3 linked regions of the Oryzias latipes genome follow. The protein of the gene in region 2 interacts with the protein of the main gene of each other region in a biochemical or structural test. Links are inferred from orthologs where the notes say so. Each region holds a gene or a part of one and is shown on either strand. Other genes may lie near its edges.

Evidence for each region. The genes of interacting proteins can lie anywhere in the genome.
Region 1: the proteins of rb1 (region 2) and myod1 form a complex in vitro, tested with the Homo sapiens proteins (2 studies listed by BioGRID). The link is inferred for Oryzias latipes from reciprocal best matches to the Homo sapiens genes RB1 and MYOD1.
Region 3: the proteins of rb1 (region 2) and e2f2 form a complex in vitro, tested with the Homo sapiens proteins (2 studies listed by BioGRID and IntAct, with this or other methods). The link is inferred for Oryzias latipes from reciprocal best matches to the Homo sapiens genes RB1 and E2F2.

What each region holds. Positions count from the first base shown.
Region 1 is NC_019864.2:6,431,739-6,437,771, reverse strand, and holds the start of myod1 (myoblast determination protein 1), read left to right. Parts: upstream 1-2,222; 5' UTR 2,223-2,425; coding exon 2,426-3,013; intron 3,014-3,697; coding exon 3,698-3,779; intron 3,780-4,981; coding exon 4,982-5,205; 3' UTR 5,206-6,033. UniProt on the Homo sapiens protein: Acts as a transcriptional activator that promotes transcription of muscle-specific target genes and plays a role in muscle differentiation. Together with MYF5 and MYOG, co-occupies muscle-specific gene promoter core region during myogenesis.
Region 2 is NC_019872.2:15,933,367-15,939,594, reverse strand, and holds the start of rb1 (retinoblastoma-associated protein), read left to right. Parts: upstream 1-2,707; 5' UTR 2,708-2,870; coding exon 2,871-2,980; intron 2,981-4,604; coding exon 4,605-4,725; intron 4,726-5,891; coding exon 5,892-5,995; intron 5,996-6,155; coding exon 6,156-6,228. UniProt on the Homo sapiens protein: Tumor suppressor that is a key regulator of the G1/S transition of the cell cycle. The hypophosphorylated form binds transcription regulators of the E2F family, preventing transcription of E2F-responsive genes.
Region 3 is NC_019880.2:9,279,274-9,285,459, reverse strand, and holds the start of e2f2 (transcription factor E2F2), read right to left. Parts: upstream 3,812-6,186; 5' UTR 3,324-3,811; coding exon 3,051-3,323; intron 1-3,050. UniProt on the Homo sapiens protein: Transcription activator that binds DNA cooperatively with DP proteins through the E2 recognition site, 5'-TTTC[CG]CGC-3' found in the promoter region of a number of genes whose products are involved in cell cycle regulation or in DNA replication.

The DNA.
Region 1 (6,033 bases), on a different chromosome or scaffold from region 2:
CAAACAAAGCTTTCTAAGTTGCAAATGAAAATATTAAATGTTTGCTTTCAAATACTTTTTGGTTTCGCTTTCTTTTTTTTGCTTTTAAAAATGTCTCGCGTTTTCAGTTTAGTGTGACATATGGCAGCTATGTCACGCTAAGCTGAAACCTATGACACGCAAAAAAATTTTTTGAAAGCAAAGAAAAAGTATGTGAAAGCAAATATTTAATATTTTCATTTGCAGCTTAGAAAGTTTTGTTTGCTATGTGGTGGCGTAAATATAACTTGATAGACATTTGGAATTTCTAAATGCCAAATATTTAGTCTTTTCTTCGGCTTGCACATCTTTACTTTTATTCCGGATTGTGTTGATTCGCTTCAAACTTGTTTAATAAGAGCAAGATAAAAATATAAATAATTAAAAGTTGAATTGTAAACAGCTGGTTTTGTTTTTTTGTTTTTTTGCACGTTTTATCTGGAAGGAATAAATAACATACATATCATACACATGTATGAATAACAACTTTTTTTTTACACTTATTCATCTTATATGCTTCATTCTGACTGAAATAAAGCAACAAAAACCAAAAAAGTCTTTTGGGAGCTGAGAGGCTCTTTTTAGTGAGCCGATCCAGGATTCCCATCACAACAATGAGCCCACACTGGCAACAATGTCTGGTCTTAACAAACAGCTCGACTGCTGACAGTCAATGTGCTCGACATGTGATGACGTAACCACGCCTACTAGAGTCCCTGCTGAGCGACGCTTCTGGGTAAAAAAATTGATGTCAAGAGGAGGAGTCAAGCTGGATATCTGTAATCTGGGTTGTTGAACTCCATAACAGAGCTAGAAAGTTCTCTTATGTTTTACCCTAAATGTAAGGATTTAAAAAATAAAATACAACCGTTGTTATTCGCCAGGGGCCTCCGAACTCTAAAGTCCGCCACTGACGACAACATTTACCCTGAGACGCAATGCGAATGTGTGGGGGGGATCAACACCACAATGTGTCTCTTGGCCGCACATATTAAGTGTTTTTCTGTCTGGTCCTACGTAAATATGTGCAAATAACAAAAAGAAAAGTAGATTTTGAAAATTATTAAGATCATTTCTGAGTAGAATTGATGTGAATACATGAAAACCAAAGCACAGAGACACTCAGTTAGCATTATTTTCACAACTATTGTTGTAGTTTAGAATAAATACCGACTTTTTGAATATGGGAAAGCAAAACCTTTTTTTCATGCCATTTTTCTCCATTAAAACAACAACTTTGTGGTGTTTTTTAAAAAAAAAAGAGACTTCATTTGTTTTTCAAAATAGCTCTAAAAACAACCAAAGCTCGTCTTGCATTGCCAGCTTTTCACACATTTCTTGCTGCTCATTAAATGTTCTGCTGACAGTCTTTTCTTTCAGTGCAAACATTTCATTTGTCTCTGACATTCTGAATTGCCTCATTTTTCCTACTTACAATGAAAACAAAAAAAAGAGTGGTGTGTGCGCATGTGAAGGTGCGTTCCAGAGCGCGCTCCACGCAGTTTCATGAACACTCATTCGGTGTACAGACCGGACGGACCAGCGCCAGACACGCAGGTACCTGCAGGGGCGGTTCTTCTTTTCATCAGCGCTCCTCCGCCACCTACAATATATTTATTGTAATTAAATCAACTTATTGGAAGAGGTTCGATCTGCAAAATCAAAGCGGTTCAATTCCCTCAAATCTTGCTCCAGCCTTTTTGTTTTCACAGATCTGTTCCTATAAATGTCCATCTTGGTGTCATTTTATTCCGGCCAAAAACAAACCGCAATTATTCATTTCTCCTTAGTGATCATGTTTACAACGGTTGATAACTGTTTCTTGAAAAGACGCTACAAACACTATCAAATCCTAATTTCTGATTGGTCACAGCGCTGCGTTGCTGAGATTCAGCGTGAAAAAGTTCAACCGGTTGAACTTTCAGCGCGCGACCAACGAACGCTTGATTTGTTTGTAGGCTCCGCACCCAACTTAAAAACCTGCTGGTGATGTGCGACCGCTAGCCTTCCAGACGCCACAGCCCCAAATTCTGGTGTGTGCGCATTCAAAGAGGCGCTTGAACACGGGTGTGTAAGGCGGAAATGCGTGTGCGGCCTTCCTTTAGCTGTTCCGTTAACTGCAGGCCTCTAATTACCGTGCAGTTGTAACCCCTCCACTTACACACACGCACACCCCTGCAGCTGCCCACCGATTGGTCACACTCCTCTGACCCCTTGGCCCCCCTGCCTGCTGCTGATGTGCCAGGTATAAGAGGCTTCAGGTCAGCAGTAGTCCAGTTCAAAACTCCTGACAGGACCCACATTACCGGACCCGCGGATCGCGAGTCTCTCTTCGGTTTGCTGGATAGCTCGGCTCGGCCCGTTGATCTCAGTATTTCTTTTCTGCGGGCCTGTTTTGGACCGGGTCATGGAGCTGTCGGATATTCCTTTCCCCATCCCGGCTGCTGATGATTTCTATGATGACCCCTGTTTTAACACAAGTGACATGCACTTCTTCGAGGACCTAGACCCACGGCTAGTCCATGGCGGTCTGCTGAAGCCGGATGACTCCTCTTCTTCCCCCTCATCCTCTCCTTGCTCGTCCTCCTCCTCCCCGTCCTCCGTCCTCCATGTGCACCAGCGCGCGGAGGTGGAGGACGATGAGCACGTCCGTGCGCCCAGTGGCCACCACCAGGCGGGCCGCTGCCTGCTGTGGGCCTGCAAAGCCTGCAAGCGGAAAACCACCAACGCAGACAGACGCAAGGCAGCGACGCTGCGCGAGCGCCGGCGCCTCAGCAAGGTCAATGACGCCTTCGAAACGCTGAAGCGCTGCACGTCAGCCAACCCCAACCAGAGGCTGCCCAAGGTGGAGATCCTGCGCAACGCCATCAGCTACATCGAGTCCCTGCAGGCGCTGCTGCGCGCCGGCCAGGAGGATGGCTTCTACCCGGTGTTGGAGCACTACAGCGGGGACTCGGACGCGTCCAGCCCCCGCTCCAACTGCTCTGACGGAATGGTGAGTCCGCTGTTCGGACAAGCTGCGAAGGCTGGAGCTACAGCGCGTCTTTACGCATGGAGTCTTGACTTAGTTAGTCGTTTCATGACGGCACAAGTTTTTACAAAACTTCAGTAAAAAAGAAAAGAAAAAGGAAAGGCAACTTTCACCGTTTTAGATTCGATTATACAGGCGCGTTACTCAGTTAATTCAGAGGATTACCAGTTACTACCTCTCCCGAAAATAAGATTTTTAAACGTAAAACCTTTTCTTTTTTTTTTTTAATCGTGAAAATCTTTTTTACGTATTTCTTGAATAGACTGACAGCGTCGTTTGGAGCAGTTCGCTGCTTGAATAAAAATCGGTTATAATTTGCACCAAACATCCGGATTTATTCAAACGAATTTCCTTCATAAAACATACGAGTCCCGTCATTAGGATTTCTATTATTTGACAAATTTCCTTTTATAACGCGTGCGAAACACTCAGGAAGATGAAATAATAATATTGTTGCTGCTGTTTTGTGCTTGTTTGTTCAAAGAAAGCCCATATATATATATATATATATTCCAGTTTAAAAATACACGAGTGTTTACTATCGGAAAATATCCCTTGTGTTGATATTTCAAAAATGTGACATTGTGTAAATTGTGTTTTATTTACTCTTTTGGCGTGCTCTAAAAAAAGCATTGTGTTTTATTCCAGACTGACTTTAATGGACCGAGGTGTCAGACGACGCAAAAGGGGAGTTATGACGGCGGCTCCTACTTCTCCGAGGCTCTGAACGGTGAGCTGCGCGCGGGCCAGAGGGGGCCGCGTCACGCGCCAACATTTTACACAGGAAAGATCCGATTTGCGCTTTAACCAGCCGACAGCATTGCTCATCTGAAATGATAAAGCGTTTGCAATCTAACTAAATCTGTTCATGAAGCCAAAGATGTGCTTTTATTTTTGCTAAATAAATTTAGTTTTCATGAGGTTAAAGAAAACAATGACATTCTCTATAAATTCTATAAATGAGAAAAAGGATATATATATAGATATATATCTATATCTATATTTACAGCTGAGCAAGTATGTCAGAGCTGAAGGCCTCTTGTGTTGGACAAATTTTACTTTTACAACAGGACTTTATGGATCTTTAGACAAACACAATTTATTTAGGGGTTAATATCCTTCAAAGGGTGCATTATTAACGCTTGCCGTGTAAGCCTGCGTTGAACTGCAAAGTGCATTAAAAATATGAACACTTTGAAGTAAATCTACTCACTTATACCATGGTGACTTTCAAAATAAATAAATAGTCAACCAGTACTTTATTCTGGTCATTTTTACGGTTTAGATTGCTTTTTCACAAAAGCGAACTATTTGTCATGCGGTGCAGCCTGTTGTCACAGTAACATGCCACTTAGCCAACCTCGAGTGGTGCGGCAAAGGAAAGTGATATCTATGCTGATGATCACGATGGGTTGAATAAAGCATCAGTTCAGAGAGAAAGTTCTCCTGTCACTGATCATTTTTGTCCAGATGATGAAGCTAAAGATTCTGATACAGAACATTTAAGATATGTGACCGGAACTGCTTTTTAGATGTACATTAACACATTTTTATCCACACCCAGCAGCCAATCAGAATCGAGTATTTCCCTGGACAATGGTATCAATTGGTGTAAACCCCTTATGTATTTGAGGTTAGGCTTTATTCATAATAATTATGTTTATATGCATTCTTTGTTGGACCGGACGGAAAACAAGAAGAGAGAGAGTGGATGTTAGAGATGGGGGGTGGGGGAGCAGTGGATAATACAGAGTCAAGAGTGTCATAAGTAAACTGCATGACTTGGTTCTCACACACACACACACACACCCACACACACACACACCAATAAATAGTCTGCACACAGCTGTTTACAGGTTTTATTCACACATAGAGGAGTGACCTCACAGTCTAGTTTGAATCATGTTTGACTGACGGTGTTTTCTGCCGTAGGAGGCCACAGGAATGACCGCAGCTCCGTCGTCTCCAGTCTGGACTGCCTGTCCAGCATTGTGGAGCGGATCTCCACCGACAGCAGCTGCCTCCCAGCCACGGCCGATGCTCCTGCCTCCCCGGCCGCCGCTGCGCTCAGTGAGACAGAGCGCGGCCCTCGGGCCGCTCCGACCTCTTCTCCGGCCTCCAGCCAAGACCCGAACCTGATCTATCAGGATCTATAGACCCTGACACCCTTGATGAACAGCAATGCTGTGGCACCGTGTGGAAATGAGCTCACAGACATGGAAACTGTTTAATTAGTTTGGCTCTGCAGATTCTTTTTAACATTTTCAAAACTTCTGTGGTCTTCTTAACCTTTAGAGGCTCATTCCTGCCAGGAAAATAGTATTTGTTTTTTGTTCGTTTTTTTGTTCAGTCTTCTTTTTTCCTGAATTGATATCTTATCAGTTTCAAACAACACGCACTGATGAAAAACATGAAATGTGGATTTGTAAAAAATGAAAAATGTCTTAATGAAGTCTTTATTTTAAAAAGGGAGTTAAAAGGGGAACAAAAGTCTCAGTTTTTTTAAATGAAATAATTGAAAACAGATCATCTAAACCAGAATATCTGGAGATAAAATATGAAATAAGTTTATTGCAGGTGGATTTTACCATTCCCAGACAGGCATATTTTCCAGCAGAAATGAGCTTCTGTTTTCCTGCTTAAAAACATGTGAAAGAATTCAGAGTAAAAACTGTAATGCTGGTAATACAGAGGAATTCACCTGAAAACAGGCGGTTTCCGTTTTTGTTGAATTTTTATTTTAAGTTATGCAAAAATATTTAAGTCTTGTTTTCTGTATTCATTTGAAAATGGAGGCCAAATGGAAGCCGGTGACGCTTCAGAGTCCTTCAGGCCTGCAGGTTTCTTCTCTCTAAAAAAAATCATCAAGCAGCAACACCACAATATTGTTGTGCATTCATGTGCACAATAAAAGAAAAGAAAAACCAGTAATGAGAGTGCTGGTTCAGAAGATGAAACCTCCACCAGCCTTTAGTCTTTCATTT
Region 2 (6,228 bases):
TTATAGCCAAGACAGTTCCTGTTGTTTTATATTTAACTTCTTATGTATAAGTGAACCTGTGAAAAAATATGGTAGTGTCTGTGTTAGAGTGTGGCACATAGTGGTCCTGTAAATGACTGTGGACCGCGCCTCTGGCTCGTCTCGCGCCCCCAGCCGTCCCCCAACTCCATCTGGATGAAGCCCATCTGCTGGACTACTTAAACATGTAGTTGTAGCGTTAGAAGCTTATATGTCACACAAAGATAAGGTCCCATGTGAATAAAAAAATACTTCATTATTCATTCATTCATTTTCTAAACTCTTCTAAACAAGAAAAACTTGCAAAGATTGACAACTTTTACAGAGGCAGGATCCTGCACATACAGTGTTTCACTGGACAAGATGAAAAGCTGCATGTAGTTGCAGGAGGTGATCAGCAGGTGTCGCCCTCTGATGGAAGTTTAAGATGTCTCCACCAAGGAAGACAGTTCTGACATTTTTCAGAAACAATAAATGCAAATAAAGAACAGTATTGTAAATAGGAAGTAAAAATAAATAAATAGCAAAGTACTTTTTTTCACATTGTCAACGAACAAGTTACACTCTCTGGTGGACAAGATTTTCCCAAACTTTATGTGCACATATGTGTAACCTAATGCAAAAATGCCTTTGGATTAAACATTCTAAACATTAAATATTGAAGAAATGAACTGAACATTTATTTCAAGCTTTTAACTATATAAAAAAGTGCAGAGGAGCATTAAGAAAGACTAACTCAGGTGGATATTAATGTTGAGTCACTTTAATTATTTCAGAGACTTACATTGTCCAGAAGTATTTAAGAAATTCAAATAAAATACAACAGCAGAAGTAAAAGCAATGAAGCCAATCCAACAAAGTTGAAAATAGACCTTAAATGTTTCATTAGATTGCTTCATATAAAATAAATTAATATTATTTATCATATTCTGTTCTCTTTGGAAGATATTAATTTCACCAACTTCAGTCACTGAAAAAAATGTACATTAAAGTATTTCGCAGCACTAAGAGTTAAAAACAAAAATACAGTACTTTTTATGACTGAATAATGTGCAAGAGAGGAGGTCAACTCAGCTTCTGTTTGCTTGGAATATGTGTGCAGCTCATGAAGCCAGTGCAGAGAACATGCATAGTAAGCCACATGGGGTCCATAAAGCCAAACCAAAAAGATAAAGATATTCTCTGCATGGTTATGTGGATGTGTGTGGATGTGAACTGCACAGGGGGATGAGCTGAGCTGCCAAACAAAATCATATGTATTGGTCCCAAAGATGCTGAATGGCTTCACCATTGCTTCAAGTCCCTAAAACAGACATGTCAGTGATAATAAAAGTGGGATTCTTCTAAACAGCAACTGCATCTTGTCACTGTGGTTAATGCGTAAACAATCTAAACAAACCATAGATCTGTTTGATTATCAGTAAAATTTGCATAAAGCTTCAAAAAGGCCAGAGGGTATATGTATATATTAAACACATCTCATATTTGATTTCCTTTATTAGATATACATTAATTCTGGCCTTAGCACACACAAAGTGTGTACTCAAGACCACATTTTAATCGCAACAAAGATTAGAATGAAACTCAAAAGGTACAAAAAGCCCTGAAAACCAAGGAAAACGACCCAACAGACACAGGAGATTCAACCAAAAGGATCCCCCACCACCACGGCTTGAAAAAAAACCCCATAGAGTTGGAGTATTAATAATAATAATAGTTTCATTAATAGTATTGTGTAGCAATCATAGTAGTAATCAAAGTCAAAACATTAATACATTTTTATTACTACTACTATTAGTCAGGACCTCAGTTGGGTCCTCTCCCTCTAGATGCAGCTCTAGATGGGGACCTGCATCCCCACTTAGCTGTGGTGGAGCGGTCCCCGCCTGTGATGCTGCATTTTGGCTGGCTATGCAGCTATTCAGAGAGAGGGAGGTTCAAACGATTCAAACATCTTGTTTTCGTGCTCAGCCTATTTCTCATTATTGTCTTTCCCCATCAGTTTAGGGGGTGGGAGGTGTGAAAGGAGTGGGGGGCTGTGTGTAGGTACAGGAAGGGGGCCCTATTTTTTAATTTTTGTGTTTATTTATTTTAATTTTCATGCTTGTTTTTGTACTATTTATTTTGTTTTAATTTAAAGAACTGTATGTTATTCTTTTAAAATTAAAAAGTGGTTTATAAATAAAGTTTGATTTGATTTAATTAATCTTGTTTTTTATTATGACCCGAGCTCAAACTAAGTGAACCACAGATTAGATTGTAGGTACGCTAACCACCAGGAATGGAAAAAAGGTTCAAACGTAAATTATTATTATTTTCGATGTAAGGAAAATATGTTTTTGTTATACAATCAACGTCATTGCCATTGACAGACGTGCTAACTTTGTTTCGATTGTGGTGCATGCGCAAACAAGCGGAAATTGCGTCTGTATTTTCCCGCGCTTTTGTACTGTCAGTTTGTTTTATTTAACTCAAGTGCTGTCATGTGATCTGTGTGAACTAAAAAAATGGTGTCTGATATGATTTAGAGTACAGTTTAATAGTAAAATTAGCTTTGACTTCTTTAGAAATAATATTCTTAAATCTAAATTCAAAATAGGGTATTTTATTCAGATATATTATCACAGTGTAAAGAACGTTTGCAAACGCTACGACATAACCTCCCTGCGGGGCAATTCCTTTGAATAAAACGAGCATACACTGAAGCACGGCTCCAGGAAGTATGTCAGATTTTGTTGTATTGTTGCCATTGAATTTACTGAGTGGGCTTTAAACTCTAAATACATTAGCTGCCGATTTAAACAAAAGTACAAAAAGGTGTACACATTTTTCTGAAAAGTAACCACTCCAATATGCCGCCTAAAAAACGCAACTCGGGAGCGGCACAGAGCAAGGAGCCGAAGCCGAGTTCTGACAAAAGCTTTGCAGACAAGAAGGGGAGTCCAGAGTTTTCTTTGAACAAGTAAGATAAGTTAACAGTCGCCATTCGGAAGGGGACAACAGATTCCCAGTATACACATTAAAACGCTCTTTACTCACTGACACAAAAAACGGGCTTTGAAGGAGTATTTTCATGAGTAGCTTGTGTACGAACCGTTAGAGTTAGCCACCGCGAGGCTAACAACATTGTACCCCTACAGTAGTACTGACAATGAATGTCGCAATCCACACAACCAGCAGCATAGTTTTACAGTGATGAAAGTCTTCCGGGAATTCCCGGAAATCCGGGTTTTTGAGCAAACCGAACGTACTTTCCGGGAAATAAAGACCTGATCTCTACGGACAAATCGCTTTCCGGATTAAAAAATGGTCTGAAATCAGCTAATTTTAGCTTTATTTTCTATATTTCTCCGCAGATCGCTTCCTCTATGGTCGTGGCCATCTCTCGTCTTCCCGGCCTAATTGACCAATGACGGGCCGTTTTAGTTGCTTTCGGATGCGTCGACGGGTCTGATTGGCTCTGTCTGCACCACGTGGTCAGCGTGACTCGCTTCCCTAGAGACCAAAACTGGCGGACCCACGCTAAACTTTCACAAACACATCTGAAGAGTTTGCGATAAAATTTGTGTTAAAATAATGGCAGGCATCGTCATTATTGAGCGTGGTCACGACCTCAGTTGTGAGAAGACGATAAAAAACAAATTGAAGTGGTCTTGGCTGGAAAAAAAAGATTTTTAAGGTAGTGTAGGTCAAATACTTTTTTGTGTAAAATAATCTCAAAACCACATTTTGAAATAATTTCAATTTTAGTTTTGAGTTTCAGTTTTTATTTTGAATACATTTCTTTATCTAATTTATTTGTATTTCCTAATTACCATGATTTAGTTCAGTATAGTTGACATTAATTACAAGTATTTGATGGTTTGGACCCGCACTCCCTTAAAAAATAATGTTTACAATGTTTAGCTTAGTTTGTATGTTTGTTTTGATATTTCCCAGATTACTTAGTATTGGTGTTAAAGAATTGATGTATTATGTTATAGAATTATAGTTAAAGCAGATCCCATATTTTGATGTAATTATAGTTTGAGAAAACAGTGCAAGTGGATGTTGTACATCAGTCATTTCTAAAGCAGAAATAATGTATAAATAACTGAGGTATTTTCATAGAATATCATAGTTACTGGTGTTCTTTTTGCCATTTGGGGCTTTGATGTTACTATATTTTAGCAATTGTATGTTTTGCAGCTTTAAGGAAAAGCGTAGATTGTAGGATTGTGTTACTTTGAGCAATTTTCCAAATTCTTTTTTGGGACCAGCAAGTCCTTAATGGAGAGTCAAACTAGGGGTTTGAATGACAAATCATGATGCTCCAATTAGTCTTAGTTTCTTGATAAAGAAGTGAATAACTAGTTGCCAGAATGCACCAGAATGCATCTAAGACCACGTATTTTTCCAAAATTTTGCTCTGTGCCCGCCATATCGCTCAAAGAAAAGTTCAGGGATTTTTTCCTTACCTGACTTTCATCACTGGTTTTAACAAGTTTCATCTACAAATAACAGGAAATCATGTGGTTTAGAAAATAGTCTAGAAGGTTTCACTGCTATATAATCTGATTTTCTGACGTTTGTTTTCCTTTCTGAAGACACACAGAGAAGGATGTGGAGTTTGTGACCCTGTGTAAGAGCCTCCACGCCACGGATTCCGTGTGTGAGCGCGCGTGGACTTTGTGGAAAACTGTACAGGATGTGATGGAAGATGTTGATGTATGTATAACCAACTGTCCGAGTTGTCACTTTGTAATGTTGGGGCCCTGATGGTAAAAGCAAAGATACATTTATAGATCAAAATAAAAGGGATGGCAGGTTGATGCAGTCTGAAACCAAATGCCAACCAAGCAATTATACTTATTTTTTCCTCTTTACGTGACAACAAAGTGCCCCAGCTAAATGTACTTGCTTTTATATTTCATTTAAACTTAGATGCATTTTAATCAACCATCTGAAGGATTTAAATGAGTCTGATGACAGCGCAAACACATAACTTTCTTTAATAAAGAAGTTCCTAAACCAGTGAAATAAAGAGATGACAGAAAAATAATGAAGACTGACAATTAAACAAGCAAACACTGAAATCTCTGCTATGGGAAAGAAAATTATCGGCAAGTTTTTTCTTAAGATATTTGCACAAACAAGGAGATTGTAACACCATGACTCCAGGGTGTCATGGAATCACCCAGGTAGAATTTATTAGTAGCTTTGACAAAAATAACATATAAAATCTGCCAAAACAAGACCTTATTGTGGAAAGTCTAATAACAATCAGTAATTATGCAGTCTGACATCAAAAAGCAGAACATTTCTTTCTGGATTAAAGAAATAATGATTCATAAAATTAAATATTTTGTTTTTGTACCAGTTGTCATCTGAGCTTGATTTGACGCAAACTGGATCAGAATTGGGATTTTCAGAAACCTTTTGAATATAATAAAGACTTGTTTACTTTAACACTGTGCATTTTTTTTTACTATTATGGCTCAATTTTACCTAAGCACAAAAGAACTAGAGTTTATTTAAGTGTTGCTCGATGCCAAAGTTATGTCATCCAGAGTATTACATTTTTTGGCAGTAAATTCCTGAGGCACTTGGATTCCAAAAACATCCACCACAGTCTTATATGAAAATAGGCAGTGTTAAGTCATCCAAGACATTTTCAATTTCTTAGTCTTACTAGGCATTATAAAAAAGGTAACAAACTGATAGCAGCAAAAAGTGGATATTTATTCAGCTCTCCCTCACTGAGTAAATATAGATACATGAAAGTAAAGACAATTATAATAAATGTTTAGAAACCCTCTAATCACTGATCTAAAAGCAGACAGCAGTTGTTGAAACATTGAATTAAGTAATTTACCTTCTTTTAATTTTTTTAGGCCAATCAGAAAAGACTGTGGGGTTCTTGTCTATTTGTGACTGCAACAGACATGGATGCCGCCTGTTTTACCCTGACTGAAGTTCTAAAAGCTGTCAATATCAAGTAAGTAGCAGGAGTAGTATTTTATAAAATAAAGTAAAAAAAAAAATCATGTTTCAGACCTTGTTTGAGCTTTAAATGGCTTAAGCTACAAATTCACTGTTAAGCTTTGAAGACACAGAGTAAAGCAAGGCCTCTCACCCAGACATTTTTTGTGTTATAGTGTGAAACAGTTTGTCGGCCTGGTGAGAAAGTTGGATGTAAACTTGGATACGATAAGCACTAAAGTGAATTCA
Region 3 (6,186 bases), on a different chromosome or scaffold from region 2:
TCCATTCCTGGATGGGAATACAGCTTTGCGATGAGAACAAAAACCCCGTAAGGGCGTAATGCGCCTGGGGTCGGGCTGACCTGAGGCAAAAGAAGGTGGCTGATGGGAGGAATGCAAATGAAAATGTGACAAATGACTCTGGCAGCAGCGTGATTGAGACGCTAACCACAGGGGCTTGAAGAAAGCAACTTAAAGCTATTTATAGAAGGGTACATTCCTACCAGGTAGAAAGACACGCATTTGACCAAAAAAGTTGTCCTTCTTAACAGTTTGCATCCCATCAAGGCAGACATACTACAAAATACAAGAGATTTTGAGTGGTTGCAACAATTTTCTTTACACCCTAGTGCTTTAATTAGCTGCTACAAACATATTACATTCTATCCGGAATGCAGAATCCTACAGCCAATCCAAGTTTACCTTTCCCTATAAACCCTCCACGGCTTAAAACGAAAGCTGAAGTCAAAATGGGGAGTTAAAATTTCAGTTCTATTTGTTTCTGAAAATTCACAATAAAAAAAAGGCTTAAATGAACGTTTTATTTTTTAACTCCCCAGAAAACAATCGGCTTTGTAACATTTCTTTTTTTCAAAGTGAATTTGAAGGTAACTACCAATCCAGGTTAAGACGATGCCTTAACCTTTAAAGTCCCACTCCGCTCATCTTTTGGTCAAATGGAAAAACAAAAACTGTCCATTTTCAAGGACATAGTTTCTACAGAGCCGCAGGGGTTCATTAGAAATTCCTTTCTGATTGTGGGCGGGATCATTGGCGCAGAGCAACCCCGACCCCCCTTTCCTTCCTGTTGATGACAGCTTGTGACCTGCCCAGTGCATCTTCGACATCACAATTAAGCTCTTTTTCAAACTACATTTTATCGTGGGCTCCTGATTCACAACGATTTGAATAAATAAATACTCAGAAATGCTATTTTAAAGTTAATTTTCTTTATATATGTCCTCTATAATCAGACAAATGCCACAAGTACATGTTAAAAACACCACTGAGGTGGGTCTTTAATGACCAAACTGCAAGAGAAGCATTCCTAAAAACATTAGCAAGGATTCTGCATGCAGATCAAAATGTAGAATTTAGGTTGAAGCATCCCTTAATACTAAACAGTATTGTAAATGTATGGTGTAAAATTAATCTATTGTATTTCTTTTTAAGATTTTGACTAAACTACATGAACATGACAGTTCCTGGTTTGGAATTGTGTGGATAAACTGTGATGTATTTTTGTCAGGGGTATCCTGAGTAGACAAATGGATGCATGCGGGGCATCTGAAAACTCCAAGTGAAAGACCAGCCATGACCTTTAGAGTGATGGCCTGAAGACTGTAACACATTTTGCATCATCATCAAGCCCAAAAGGAAATTCTATTTCATAACACTCTGAACTGTCTCCACACCCTGGTTAAAAGTCAATGATGCACTGACGTTTACTACACAGCATGATTGGTACATAAATGTGAGACATCTGCAGCTAAAGTCAACAAAAGCTGTTCAAAATCAACTTAAGGATGTTATTTTTTTGTACATGTCGTCTACAGAGTGTTGAAAGGTTGAGTCTATGGGATCTCAGGGCTAGGGTTCCGTTTATGAGGCAGAAATGCAAAAGAGTGGTGGTTATTTTGTTGTTAAAGGAAGTGTGCTGCATATGCAGCAGTTCCTGTAAACACAAGGCCTGCACCCAAGCAGCTGTGATGGCAAAACCCAGTTTCCAGGAGATCGCTTCAAACAACACCGCGGCTCAGATCAAGTGCAAATAAACCCTCAATGGAGAAAATCTGCGCATCTTCACTTGATAATTACAATATAATGACAGTAAAGGTGTGAAATTTATGATGACACTTCATTGAAGAGGCATCGTGTGTTTATAAATGTGTCATTTCTGCAGAAATTGTGTTGCATTGATTTTTCTTTATTTTTTATAACTCATTATAATACACATTTATAAACATCTTAGAATCTAAGATCTCCCAATTATACAAAAAAAGAGCCAACGATATGAGTTTCCGAAAACGTTTTACTCTAAAGTTCTTCTATTACTGTTGAAATAAGCATGCACACATGGAAAAATGTTAAAAATGATCATTGTTTTACAGAATAAACACAATATCTATGGAGACAAAACCTATAAATCCTGGTGTATTTTTTAAGACTTAGCTATAAACTTGGTGTTAATGCTGGATGAGGAAGAAGAATGCCTTTATGAGATGTAAAAACGCAAACTTGAACAGTAAAATCACCTCAACATATGATAAGCCAGGTGGTAGCCTATTTCTAACTGTCCAAGTAATCCTCTTGGAGGGCCTATTAGTGGATCCACGCTCCTGGGCCAAGGGGTCAGCGTGAGATTTGAAGAGCCTGCACACTCTCCAACAACTAAATGAACGATGGGAGATTTTAATAGAAGTGGCAGCATGCATGTGGATCAGAATCCACAGCAGATCAACAGCATAATCCTTTAGGAAACATAGTGAATGGAAGTTTTTTTTTTTTTTTTTCCTCAATCAAAAAGCTCTGTGGGGAAAGCAAACAGTTGCTCACTCATGACACCCTGCTTCCTGCAGTTGCATGAACAGGTTACACAGGTCCAGCACTGGTTAACTGACAGGTGCAGATGGAGCAGCTGTCTCTGGGTGTAGTCTGCAAATGCAGGAGTAAGGGAAATAATGCCTCCAACCAGCACAGCCATGCCCTCAGTATTGTCTTCTGGTCTGTAAGCCATCCTGACTCACTGCAGTATAGGGGGCCACTCATCCTACATTTTTTCGCAAGGGACCTCTAAACAAGATCAAACTGGGGGCCCCTTCCTCTTTATCTGCCACATCAAAAACAATCACACTGGCTTGCTCCAGCTATACAGCTGGACTGCGTGGAGAGATGCACACACATGGGGGAAAAAGGCCCCTCTGTGGCTTATCGCGTCAAAACATAATTGCAAAACTGCGCATGCCGATGGAAATCATGCATTATTCCTCCCACATGGGCACAAGAAATCCCTTGTTCATAAGAGAAAAATGAGCTGCAGAAATGCTCCTTACCGGCAGCCGCCCGGAGGATGATCTGATGGGTTTAGCCTCGGGGCCGTGGGGGGTTGAATACAGGCTGTTGGCTCTTTGTTCGGCCGCAGCCGTGTTACCGATCTGGGTGAAATACCCGATCGGTACCGCGTGCATGGGCGGGCTGGACAGTCCGGTGCTGAAGAAGTCGCTCTTCACTCCTCCGGACGACAAAACCTTCATTTTCTGCTGGGAGGCGAGCGCCACTGCTGGCCGAACCGAAGCCGGAGAGACGCCTTTAGGCACCCGCATCATTTTCCCGAGGAAAACCTCAATTACCGGATTGGTCAAGCGGGGAGAGAAGCGCGCCGTTAGGGCCAGCGCGACGATCACCGGCTTTAGAGAATAATATTATCCCCGAAGAAGACGTCGACAAAAGAAGAAAGAATTGCAAATACTAAATTAATATTTTCAAAATAAAATGCACGAATTAAATCCGCAATATGACGCTGTTTCCTAATAATAATCGTTGATAGATTCGTTCCTCTTCTTAGTTCGTTTTTTTATAAGTCGTATTTAACTTGTCTTACCAGATCCAAAAACGATTCCGAATATAAATTAGTTTCTTCAAACATGCGGGACTTTAAAGTTCGACTCGAAAATGCGTCTCGGGGACAAACGCTAGAACTTCTGGTGAGTCCTTCCGACTGCGGATTCCGACCCAGTGTGCGGCTGCCGTCAGTCCACCTCGGGGTGCCCCTTCTCCATTCAACGCGACAGGAGCTGCAGCTGAATAGTCTTTTTAGCGCCAAACTCCGTCCCGCGAAATTCGGATCTCCCGCGGTTGTAGAGCGCCCCTGATTGGCTGGTGGCACGCTCGGCTTGTCATATTTGCATAAAACAGTTGTTCGGGGCAGGGCCTGGTTTTCTTAAAGAGACAGTACACGAATTCTCCACACGCGCCTTAAGCTGTCTCACTTGAACTGTTTGTTACAGAAACAAAAAAAACCAATATTAAGAAACTAATTTTAAGCACTTAACTTTACCAAATACAAGCAAAAATACTACATTTAAAGTCAAACTACTCAAAACTTTTACAATTTGGAGTATGAATCCAAATTAAAATGGACTAAAATGACTATTAGTACGACAAAAGGAATGCAACTAAATGTGAAATTGTAGTTCAAACAAATATTAACTTTGAATTGTACATATTTACTAAAATAGATCCCAAAATAGTTGTAAAAAGTGTCATTTAGTTATTAAAAGAACTCCATTTCCTTCAGAATTTATATTTCTGGTGACAATAGAGCACACATTTGTAAACGTATTTCCTAAAATAAGGAAAGTGGCACACAGCAAGGGGCAGCCCTGCATTGTCTGTACATGATAATTGGATTCACCACTCTTGCTTATTGGCTCACAAAAGATATTGAAAGAAAACACCCCCTCCCCCATCTTTGGCGACCAAACCCAAGCCAGATGACTTGACCCCTATTGGCCAAGAACGAGGAGACCTAAAGCCTCCCATGGACGGTACGTCTTTAAAGAGTGGAATTTCTTCCAATAAAACCTATAAAAAGTCGCGGGTAATCAGATAAACGCCTAGTGTTGTTGACCTAAAACTGAAGTTGTGACTTGAAATCTTAGTTCTTGGTCATCATGGAGGATTGTTGATGTGTTTTCATTTGTCCAATAAAATTATATGTGCAACATTGAAAAGTTGTAGGTAAAAAACATGCCTTCTAAACTGGACTAAGCCGGCATCATGTTTTCTACTTGCGTCAGTTGGGTTTTATTACAGTAAAACTTTGGAGTTGTTTAGTCATTTGGTACAATTTTTTTAATGGTTTATTTCAAGCAATCAAATTGGAATCATACACAAAAACAATACAATCACCAGTTATACATTCATACAATGGCGAACCAAACTTATGATAATTAGGCATAATAAATATTGCTTGAAAGGGAGTGGAAGGAAGCAAATTTATATAATCCCACCCCTAATCTACCGTAACCATTTTATTACATGATTTATCAATATCCGGCTCCTAGCTTTTATCAGACAGAATTAAGAATCCTGAGGTATCAATTAAGCACATGACAAAGATTAATTACTTAAATTATTATGTAAAAAATAACGTTTAGAAATCAACATGGCAATTGCAGATCATTTATCCAAAATATATGCAATTATGTTACTTAAAAAAAAGTCATGTATATGATTAATAAAAATACTATATCAGTAAAATAGACAGAACACTGTTTCAAAAGTCTTCATAGAAAGAAATTCTCAAGTTTTAAAAGTTACAATATATGCAAAATTATGTCACATTAAGAAAAATCATGAATCAATTTTTAAATTTTTGGAGCAAATGAAGTAATATTATTAGAAAAATCAATTTAACCATCTTGCATAATTGATTAAGCATTTATTATAAATTTTTAACCATTGACAGTCATTTTGCAATTGCTGTGTTCAGGTCAGAACTATAGGATGCTGCTTTAAAAGTATTGTTATCTCTTTATTTAGTCATCCTTTTTTCAGTTTGAAAACTAAAGGATTTTAGCCTCCCAGAGCTTTGGTTCAGTCATTCTGCTGACAGAAAGCTCACATTGAGTCAGGGACGCCCTTTGTGCTGGACCACTAACTTAAGTCTATCCGCCCAAAGATTCTTTGAAATGCTTTCAGTTTCAGGGATTCCTTTGCTGGATAACCTGTGACTTTTCTAAAATAGTCTATTTGCATTTATGAGAGGTCTAAGAAAGGGTACACAGTGGATTGGCGGTTAGCATTCTCATCTCACAGCAGGAAGGCACTAGTTCAAATCCCTGATGAGACCCTTCTGTGTGAAGTTTGCATGTTCTCCTTGTGCACTTGACTTTGTACGTGTGTTATGTAACGATGGCGCTTCAGTATTCAGGCTTCCTCCCACTGTCCAAAACCATGGTTCATGGGCTAAAAGGCTAATTGATTCCTCTAAATTGCTCCTAGGTGTGCATGTGAGTGTGTGTATGATTGTGTGGCCCTGCAACAGACTTGCAACCTGCTCACACTGTACCCCATCTTCGTCCAACAGAGCTGGGACAGGCTCTGGCAGCCCCGTGACCCTGAAAGGTACACAGTGAGTTTAGAAAACAAATGAATGAAAGTAGTCAAAGAATCCTGATGTTTGAA